Saccharomyces cerevisiae S288C: one gene and its partner. Each later gene encodes a partner of the first gene's protein in a complex. Each region holds a gene or a part of one and is shown on either strand. Other genes may lie near its edges. The genes, in order: FIS1 and MDV1. A codon is read from its position in the direction of its gene.

Region 1 (2,906 bases):
ACACACCAGAAATAATACGTTGGGTTACCTTAACAGCATCAATACGGTTTGGGTCTAAACCGTATGACAAACGGGTGATACGGGAGGTAATTTTATCGAATTGAACGGGCTCTTTGCGGCCGTCTCTTTTAATAACGTACATTTGTGTGGGAGTATTTGATTTATTGCTGCTGCTATTCTTGCTTGTCATATTTATTTCAACTTGGATATGAGATGAGAGAAAGGCAAGGAAGAAGGCAAAAGAAGGCAAAATAGCAGTGCGTTTATATACGTTTTGCAGCAGAACACGAAACAATATAAAGAACGCTGACACGAAAAACGAAACGCGTCAGCATCTCACAATACAGTATTACGATTTAACAATAGACTATTGTTTTTTTCCCATCTTGTCGTTTGGTCCTCGCCATGGCAACCGGGTTTTTGCCCCTTTGAGCAGCGCCTAGGTGTCGTTGCTGCGACAACCACGAAAAAAAAAAAAAAAAAAAAACAAAAGAACAACGGCACGCAATGTTGCTGTGACAACCGTAGGCAGATAACTTGGCTTTTTTTACTACTTTAGGAAAATTAGCAGCCAAGAACGAGGGCTTGCTCTGCTACCTAGTTCAAACTGAAACAAGCCTTCACTTTCTTTTCTTTTCTTTTTTTTTTTATCTAACAACTGAAGATTAAATGATAAATGTTTACGCGTGCGTGCGATTCATTCTTATGTATGTACGTATGTGCTGATTTTTTATGTGCTTGTTACCTTCTCTTGTTTCTTAAGAAGAAACTAGCCACGGCCACAGCGCCGGCTAGTACGCCTCCAGCGACGACAACACCCTTGAGTGTTTCCTTCTGGATCTTATCCTCTACCATACTCTTCAAAGCGCCCACCTGCTTGTTATTACGCTCATGCTCAAATAAAGTGTCTACATATCTCTTCGCCATAGAGTATTCACCGAGTTTGTAGCAACCTATGGTCAGATAATATAGGCATTCTCGTCTACGGGACTCGGCCTCTTTGTAAATGTCTGTGAGGATTTTCACACCAAGCCTTTCGTCATTCACGTCAGTGGATTTGATCAGCCCCCATGCGTAGTTAAACCTTGACTGTATGGTAGCGGTGGGCCCCCCCTCGGAGACGACTTGCTGGCGCAGAATCTCCAGCTGCTGCGGATAGAGTGGTTCGTATGCGTCCTTAAGAGTTGGCCAAAAATCTACTTTGGTCATACTTATGTTGTATGGCTGTGCTCTGATCTGTGCTTCTATGTGCCGTTTTTACGCAAGGTATATGATAACTTCTGTGCAGAATAGTGGCAATGGCAGCTTTGCTTTGAAAGGGGTCCAGCCTAGCCCGCTTGCGGTGTTCCGGCATAAATGCGCAAAAAGATTGGTTCATGAAAAGAAGTGAAAAAAAATCGATGAGCTCAGCTCTTAAGAACGGTATTATGGAACGAACTCAACCCGAAAAGGTAGTACAGATGCAGGGCACGGCAGATTTGAGCACTTCGAAACTTGGTACGAAAAAATACTGGGATGAACTGTATGCCCTGGAGCTGGAGAATTTCAGGCGGAATCCGCAGGATACCGGGGACTGTTGGTTTAGCGATAGCGATGCTGAACAAAAGATGATTGATTTTCTGGTAGATAACATTGGTGCGTACAGAATTTCTGAGAATGCTTCTGTTGTAGACCTCGGTACAGGTAATGGACACATGTTATTTGAACTGCATCAAACGGAATTCCAAGGGAAACTGGTCGGGATAGACTATTCTGAGGAAAGCGTCAAACTCGCTAGTAATATAGCCGAGGCCACCGGTGTTGACAATTTCATCAGTTTCCAGCAAGCAGACATCTTTAGTGGTGACTGGAAGCCGGGAAAGTATGACATTGTGTTGGATAAAGGGACCCTAGATGCCATTTCATTGAGTGGCATGAAGATCAACGGTAAACTTGATGTAGTCGATGTATACGCCGGAGTAGTGGAAAGGATTTTGAAAAAAGACGGTATTTTCTTGATCACTTCTTGTAATTTCACACAAGATGAACTAGTAAAGATCATAGAGACTGATAATTTGAAAATGTGGAAAACAATAAAATACCCTGTTTTCCAATTTGGCGGGGTCCAGGGTGCGACCATATGTAGTGTAGCATTTGTTAAACAAAACTGATTTGTTTTTATCTTTGATTTATTTTTAACGTTATTTCTCTTTACTTATTTAGGAACGGATTTAACTATAATGTTATACAATTCATCCGTGGTTTCCTTCTTACCAGTCTTTATGGCGTACTGTGCAGGATCACCGTTATCATCTACTGCTAGTAATCTTATGAATTTTTCGCTTTGCAAAGAACCTGTAAATCCTTTTTGCACAGTGAACCCCTTGACCAGTTGGATGTTTAAAATGACTTTTAAGATACCACGAGACCTCATAACAATACGCGTCTTCTCGACGTCGTCCTTACTTTTATTGATTTTGATGATACCAACACCTCTTTCCTTCCAGCCTTCTTTTATGTTGGAAAGTTGGTACAGCTTCGCATTGACTTGATATATGCACTCCTCAGACTCTTCACCAGACTTGACTTCCTGTTTCTGCAATTTGAGGGGTTTTGGTTTGTCTTTTGTATCTTCTGAGGCATTCGCTAGTTGTTCAGATCCACTATGGACTTTATCTTTGTCAACATCAGTAGCTTTCTTTTCACTTTCAGAGTTATTTTCTGTTTTGTTTTTCAGTATGTTGAAGCCGCTGCCAAATGATAAACCTGAACCAAATGCAAATGGCTTCTTTGTTTTGCTGTCAGAGGCTGGTAAACTTTCAGTACTGGTAGTTGCATCTCCATCTTTCGTGTCCTTTTTGGCAACACCAAACCCAGTTCCAAATTTAGATGCGGCACCAAACACGAATTTATCCTCCTTTTTGTCA
Region 2 (4,908 bases), on another chromosome or scaffold:
GAAATAATAAAAGAAAAAATTAAAGAGAAGAGTATAAAACTGTTAAAAATTACCGGCAAAGGTAATATTGCTGATTTACTAACAAAACCAGTATCAGCATCTGATTTTAAAAGATTTATACAAGTATTAAAAAATAAAATAACATCACAGGATATTTTGGCCTCAACAGACTATTGATAATTAATTAATGAAGTTCTAAACACACAATGAATATCTGTTGAAGTACAATAATATATCTTTAAGGGAGCATGTTGGAACGAGAGTAATTAATAGTGACATGAGTTGCTATGGTAACAATCTAATGCTTACATCGTATATTAATGTACAACTCGTATACGTTTAAGTGTGATTGCGCCTATTGCAGAAGGAATGTTAAACGAGAAGCTCAGACAATACTGAAGCTGTGTTAAAGACCTATTAGTTGAACATGTTATGGTAGGTACATATATGAGGAATATGAGTCGTCACATCAATGTATAGTAACTACCGGAATCACTATTATATTGGTCATAATTAATATGACCAATCGGCGTGTGTTTTATATACCTCTCTTATTTAGTATAAGAAGATCAGTACTCACTTCTTCATTAATACTAATTTTTAACCTCTAATTATCAACATATCAATATATTATTGAAGATTGGGTGAATTTTGAGATAATTGTTGGGATTCCATTTTTAATAAGGCAATAATATTAGGTATGTAGATATACTAGAAGTTCTCCTCCAGGATTTAGGAATCCATAAAAGGAAATCTGCAATTCTACACAATTCTATAAATATTATTATCATCATTTTATATGTTAATATTCATTGATCCTATTACATTATCAATCCTTGCGTTTCAGCTTCCACTAATTTAGATGACTATTTCTCATCATTTGCGTCATCTTCTAACACCGTATATGATAATATACTAGTAACGTAAATACTAGTTAGTAGATGATAGTTGATTTTTATTCCAACAATTATCATATACGGTGTTAAGATGATGACATAAGTTATGAGAAGCTGTCATCGAAGTTAGAGGAAGCTGAAGTGCAAGGATTGATAATGTAATAGGATAATGAAACATATAAAACGGAATGAGGAATAATCGTAATATTAGTATGTAGAAATATAGATTCCATTTTGAGGATTCCTATATCCTCGAGGAGAACTTCTAGTATATTCTGTATACCTAATATTATACCCTCTATCAACAACAGGATTCCAACAATTATTTCAAAATCCACCCATATCTCAGATTTCACATCAGTATTGATTAAAATATTAATTGCTACCAGTTCTAATAAATCTAATGTTTACATCATATAGTAATATATCTTTTGAGAAATGTGACTGGCGTTATACAGAAACCGAATTACACGTTTTAAATACTAATTATTAAAATTTATCCTGATAAGTTGATCTTTATTTCCGTACAGCACAACCGATAGAGGAGATGTTTAAAGTGTTTAAGCTCACTTTATAGGGTGAAACACATTTTGACGACCGTAAAAGGTCATTTGATTTGGTATTGAGGTCGAGAAAATATTTTCAAATAGTGAAGGATACATTAAACACGCTCACAAAACAACATAAAAATCCGTGATAGTTTAATGGTCAGAATGGGCGCTTGTCGCGTGCCAGATCGGGGTTCAATTCCCCGTCGCGGAGATTTTTTTTGGCCCTTGATGACTGTTCTGGTACAATTTCCACCTTGAATGAGGGTATAAGATACCGATGATATATATTCAGACTATTTCTACGACACAGAAAAACAATCGACCAAGCCGTCCTTGAACATGCTGCAGAACTTCCTTTTTTTTATTTTTTTTGGCTCATCTACGTAATCCTATTATCTTTTATTAAATTTTGAAGCTATGAGTTTCTTTCCAGCGACTTGGAACCAATAGTTGACAGTGAGTGCATACTTGAGTATTTTCCCCCTACATTGTACAGTCCTCCTCAGACCTGGTATCCCTGTTTAATGTGGTCGCTCATCGGACTTTTCCGTCCGATAGGAATTCGCTCAACTTTGACAGGCGGAACTACTTTCACATCGATTTTCTCAGGAAAGACGGCGTAAACAAGAGAAGAAATTAACTTTCTACAGAAAGTACAACCATATAAACCCTTCGTAGAGCTCCAATTAGTAGCAAATAATGACAAATAATGTCAGTGAACGACCAAATAACTCATATAGGAAAAACATTGTCCACAACGGCTTCCGCTTTTTTAAACTACCAAAAATCGAACAGCAACACTCAAGATGTACTGACCAATAATGGGCCTTATAAGAATTTATTATCAAATACCGTCAACAATGCGAGCTCAACTTCATACTTTTACAAGAGGACTGAACACGGTCGCTTTGTAAAAAATGCATCTAACACTTTTGAGGATATTTACTCCAAGACAAGAAGGGGCGATGTATTCAGGAACAAGTTCACAGACAACAAAACATGCTTCAGAATGCTCACGTACATAAGTGATGATTTGTTGAACGAGATCCCAACTAAGGAAGGTCTCAAAAGTGATGCAGATGGCAAGCTTCTAACCGAAGGAGGCGAAAATGAAAATCTCAGGAAGAACGCATCCAAAAAAGAAACATCGCTGTTTCAGGGCTTTAAAAGCTACCTACCAATAGCGGAGCTTGCCATTGAAAACACTGAAAGATTAAACTATGATACAAATGGTACAAGCGGTACGGTTGGTGCGAAAGATGTTATGTCTAAAACAAATGAGCGAGATGAAATTCACACAGAGCTTCCTAACTTCCAAGATTCATTTCTCATACCGCCTGGGGTAGAAACTAAAAAAATAAGCTCCTCTTATTCTCCTAGTGCATTAAAAAGTTTTTCTCAAACTCTTGTAAATAGTTTAGAGTTTTTAAATATTCAGAAAAATTCTACGTTATCCGAAATAAGAGACATTGAAGTTGAAGTTGAGAATCTGAGACAAAAGAAAGAGAAACTGTTGGGTAAAATTGCGAACATAGAGCAAAATCAATTACTATTGGAAGACAACCTCAAACAGATTGATGATAGGTTGGACTTTTTAGAAGAGTACGGATTGGAGGTGATCGAAGCTAATAGCGACGAAAATGCAGAAGATGATGGTATGAGTGAGCGAAAGGCCCTTAAAAATGATGCTATAAGAAATGAGGGTGTCACCACAGAGAGCATATCATCAGAGGCTTCTAATCTACCTCCAAGGAGAAGGCAACAACTTCGAGACGATAACTCATTGAATAGATTAGGTGCCTTTTATAGCAAATCCAAAAAAAGACACAGAAAAAGCTTCCCAACATTCCAGCAGCTTTACGAGCCAGGAACAAAAATTGGCTCTATAATGTCCACTCACGATGATTTCCTCACTTGCCTAGATTTTGATGCGCCCTTTGGTACCTTATGTACAGCCGGATATCTTGATCACACGGTAAAAATTTGGGATTTATCCAAACAAAACAAAATTGGAGAACTAGCAGGACATCTTGCTACAATTAATTGTATGCAAATCAATCGTGACTACGGAACTCTTGTTACTGGTGGTAGAGATGCGGCTTTAAAATTATGGAATTTGAATTTAGCTCAACAACTTTACCAGGAAACGCAAAATCTTACCTCTCCTACAAATCATATTGATTCTCCATGTGTTCATACATTTGAGGCGCATACAGATGAGGTTACTGCATTATCATTAGATCCTAGTTTCTTGGTGAGTGGTTCACAGGATAGAACAATTAGGCAATGGGACTTACGTTCCGGGAAGTGCTTGCAAACCATTGATCTGAGCTTTGCAAATGTCTTAACAACATCCACTAATGTCGATTTATCAAAGAGCACACTTCTTACTCAAAGAAATGAGAGGCCTAGTATAGGTGCACTACAAAGTTTTGATGCAGCGCTAGCAACGGGTACAAAAGATGGTGTTGTAAGGCTATGGGATTTAAGATCCGGAAAGGTGATTCGTACTTTGAAAGGGCATACAGATGCCATAACGTCATTAAAATTTGATTCCGCGTGCCTGGTCACAGGTTCATACGACAGAACAGTTAGAATCTGGGACTTAAGAACTGGGTTGTTGAATAAGTTTCATGCGTACAGTGCGCCAGTTCTTTCGTTAGATCTCTTCCAAGAGAACGCTGCAGTCGTTGTCGCAGACGAACCAAGTGTCCAGATATACGATAGCGAAAAGGATGAAAGCTGGTCTTGCGTCGAACAAGGTAACGAGACTAGCGTTAGTACCGTTAAGTATAAAGAAAATTACATGGTTGAGGGTCGTGAAAATGGGGACGTAAATATTTGGGCCGTATGATAGGCATTGCATTGCAATCAAGTCAACCCATTTGAAGAAAAATAAATATCGAGTGCATATGTGAATAGCTGCTCGCTCAGATATATATAAATAAATATTCGTTCTGGAATGTAAATAAAGTATCGTCAATACCTTGGATGGTTTATCAGCGAAATCGGTGCTGTAGATGTTGCCCTGTCATATTACTACAGATGTCTTGGAAGCAATCACCATACCTGCATTATCCTTACCCGGAAAAAGAAAACTTTCGTGAATAATGATTAATATTTAAGTGGCGACTTTTTCATCCTTGCTATTGAAAAAAAAAAAAATGAATAATTGTTATTAAGCGTTAGCAGATGCCAAATTGTCGAAATGATTTCAAATACAGAGAATTAGCCGCAAATATTAAGTAGTACCTGAATCACGAGACATACAACTCGGAAAAATGAACTTTGGAAGCCAAACACCTACAATTGTGGTTCTAAAAGAGGGAACAGACGCATCTCAAGGTAAAGGTCAAATCATCTCTAATATCAATGCCTGTGTTGCAGTCCAAGAGGCATTGAAACCAACTTTAGGTCCCTTAGGTTCTGATATTTTAATTGTGACATCGAATCAAAAGACT

The links.
Region 2: the proteins of FIS1 (region 1) and MDV1 are in contact, whole or in part, in a crystal structure (PDB 3UUX), measured with the Saccharomyces cerevisiae proteins. Residues at the interface, in NP_012199.3 of Saccharomyces cerevisiae: Val4 (codon at 1,200), Asp5 (codon at 1,197), Phe6 (codon at 1,194), Pro8 (codon at 1,188), Asp12 (codon at 1,176), Glu15 (codon at 1,167), Leu17 (codon at 1,161), Gln21 (codon at 1,149), Ile24 (codon at 1,140), Leu25 (codon at 1,137), Gln28 (codon at 1,128), Ala37 (codon at 1,101), Thr38 (codon at 1,098), Ile39 (codon at 1,095), Gln40 (codon at 1,092), Ser41 (codon at 1,089), Phe43 (codon at 1,083), Asn44 (codon at 1,080), Trp47 (codon at 1,071), Lys51 (codon at 1,059), Arg59 (codon at 1,035), Val62 (codon at 1,026), Lys63 (codon at 1,023), Thr66 (codon at 1,014), Tyr69 (codon at 1,005), Lys70 (codon at 1,002), Ala72 (codon at 996), Glu73 (codon at 993), Ser74 (codon at 990), Arg75 (codon at 987); in NP_012423.1 of Saccharomyces cerevisiae: Asn95 (codon at 2,439), Lys96 (codon at 2,442), Phe99 (codon at 2,451), Arg100 (codon at 2,454), Leu102 (codon at 2,460), Thr103 (codon at 2,463), Tyr104 (codon at 2,466), Ile105 (codon at 2,469), Ser106 (codon at 2,472), Asp108 (codon at 2,478), Leu109 (codon at 2,481), Asn111 (codon at 2,487), Glu112 (codon at 2,490), Ile113 (codon at 2,493), Pro114 (codon at 2,496), Glu145 (codon at 2,589), Thr146 (codon at 2,592), Ser147 (codon at 2,595), Leu148 (codon at 2,598), Phe149 (codon at 2,601), Gln150 (codon at 2,604), Gly151 (codon at 2,607), Phe152 (codon at 2,610), Lys153 (codon at 2,613), Tyr155 (codon at 2,619), Leu156 (codon at 2,622), Ala159 (codon at 2,631), Gln243 (codon at 2,883), Ser246 (codon at 2,892), Ser249 (codon at 2,901).

The regions. Positions count from the first base shown.
Region 1 is NC_001141.2:240,567-243,472, forward strand, and holds FIS1 (Fis1p), read right to left. Parts: upstream 1,210-2,906; coding exon 742-1,209; downstream 1-741. Other genes in the region: ribonucleotide-diphosphate reductase subunit RNR3, read right to left, coding at 1-142; EFM4 (Efm4p), read left to right, coding at 1,461-2,150; YRB2 (Yrb2p), read right to left, coding at 2,195-2,906. UniProt on the Saccharomyces cerevisiae protein: Has a role in mitochondrial fission. Has a role in outer membrane fission but not matrix separation. Required for targeting MDV1 to the mitochondria.
Region 2 is NC_001142.9:203,149-208,056, forward strand, and holds MDV1 (Mdv1p), read left to right. Parts: upstream 1-2,156; coding exon 2,157-4,301; downstream 4,302-4,908. Other genes in the region: chaperonin-containing T-complex subunit CCT7, read left to right, coding at 4,729-4,908. UniProt on the Saccharomyces cerevisiae protein: Involved in mitochondrial fission. Has a partially redundant function to CAF4 in acting as an adapter protein, binding to FIS1 on the mitochondrial outer membrane and recruiting the dynamin-like GTPase DNM1 to form mitochondrial fission complexes.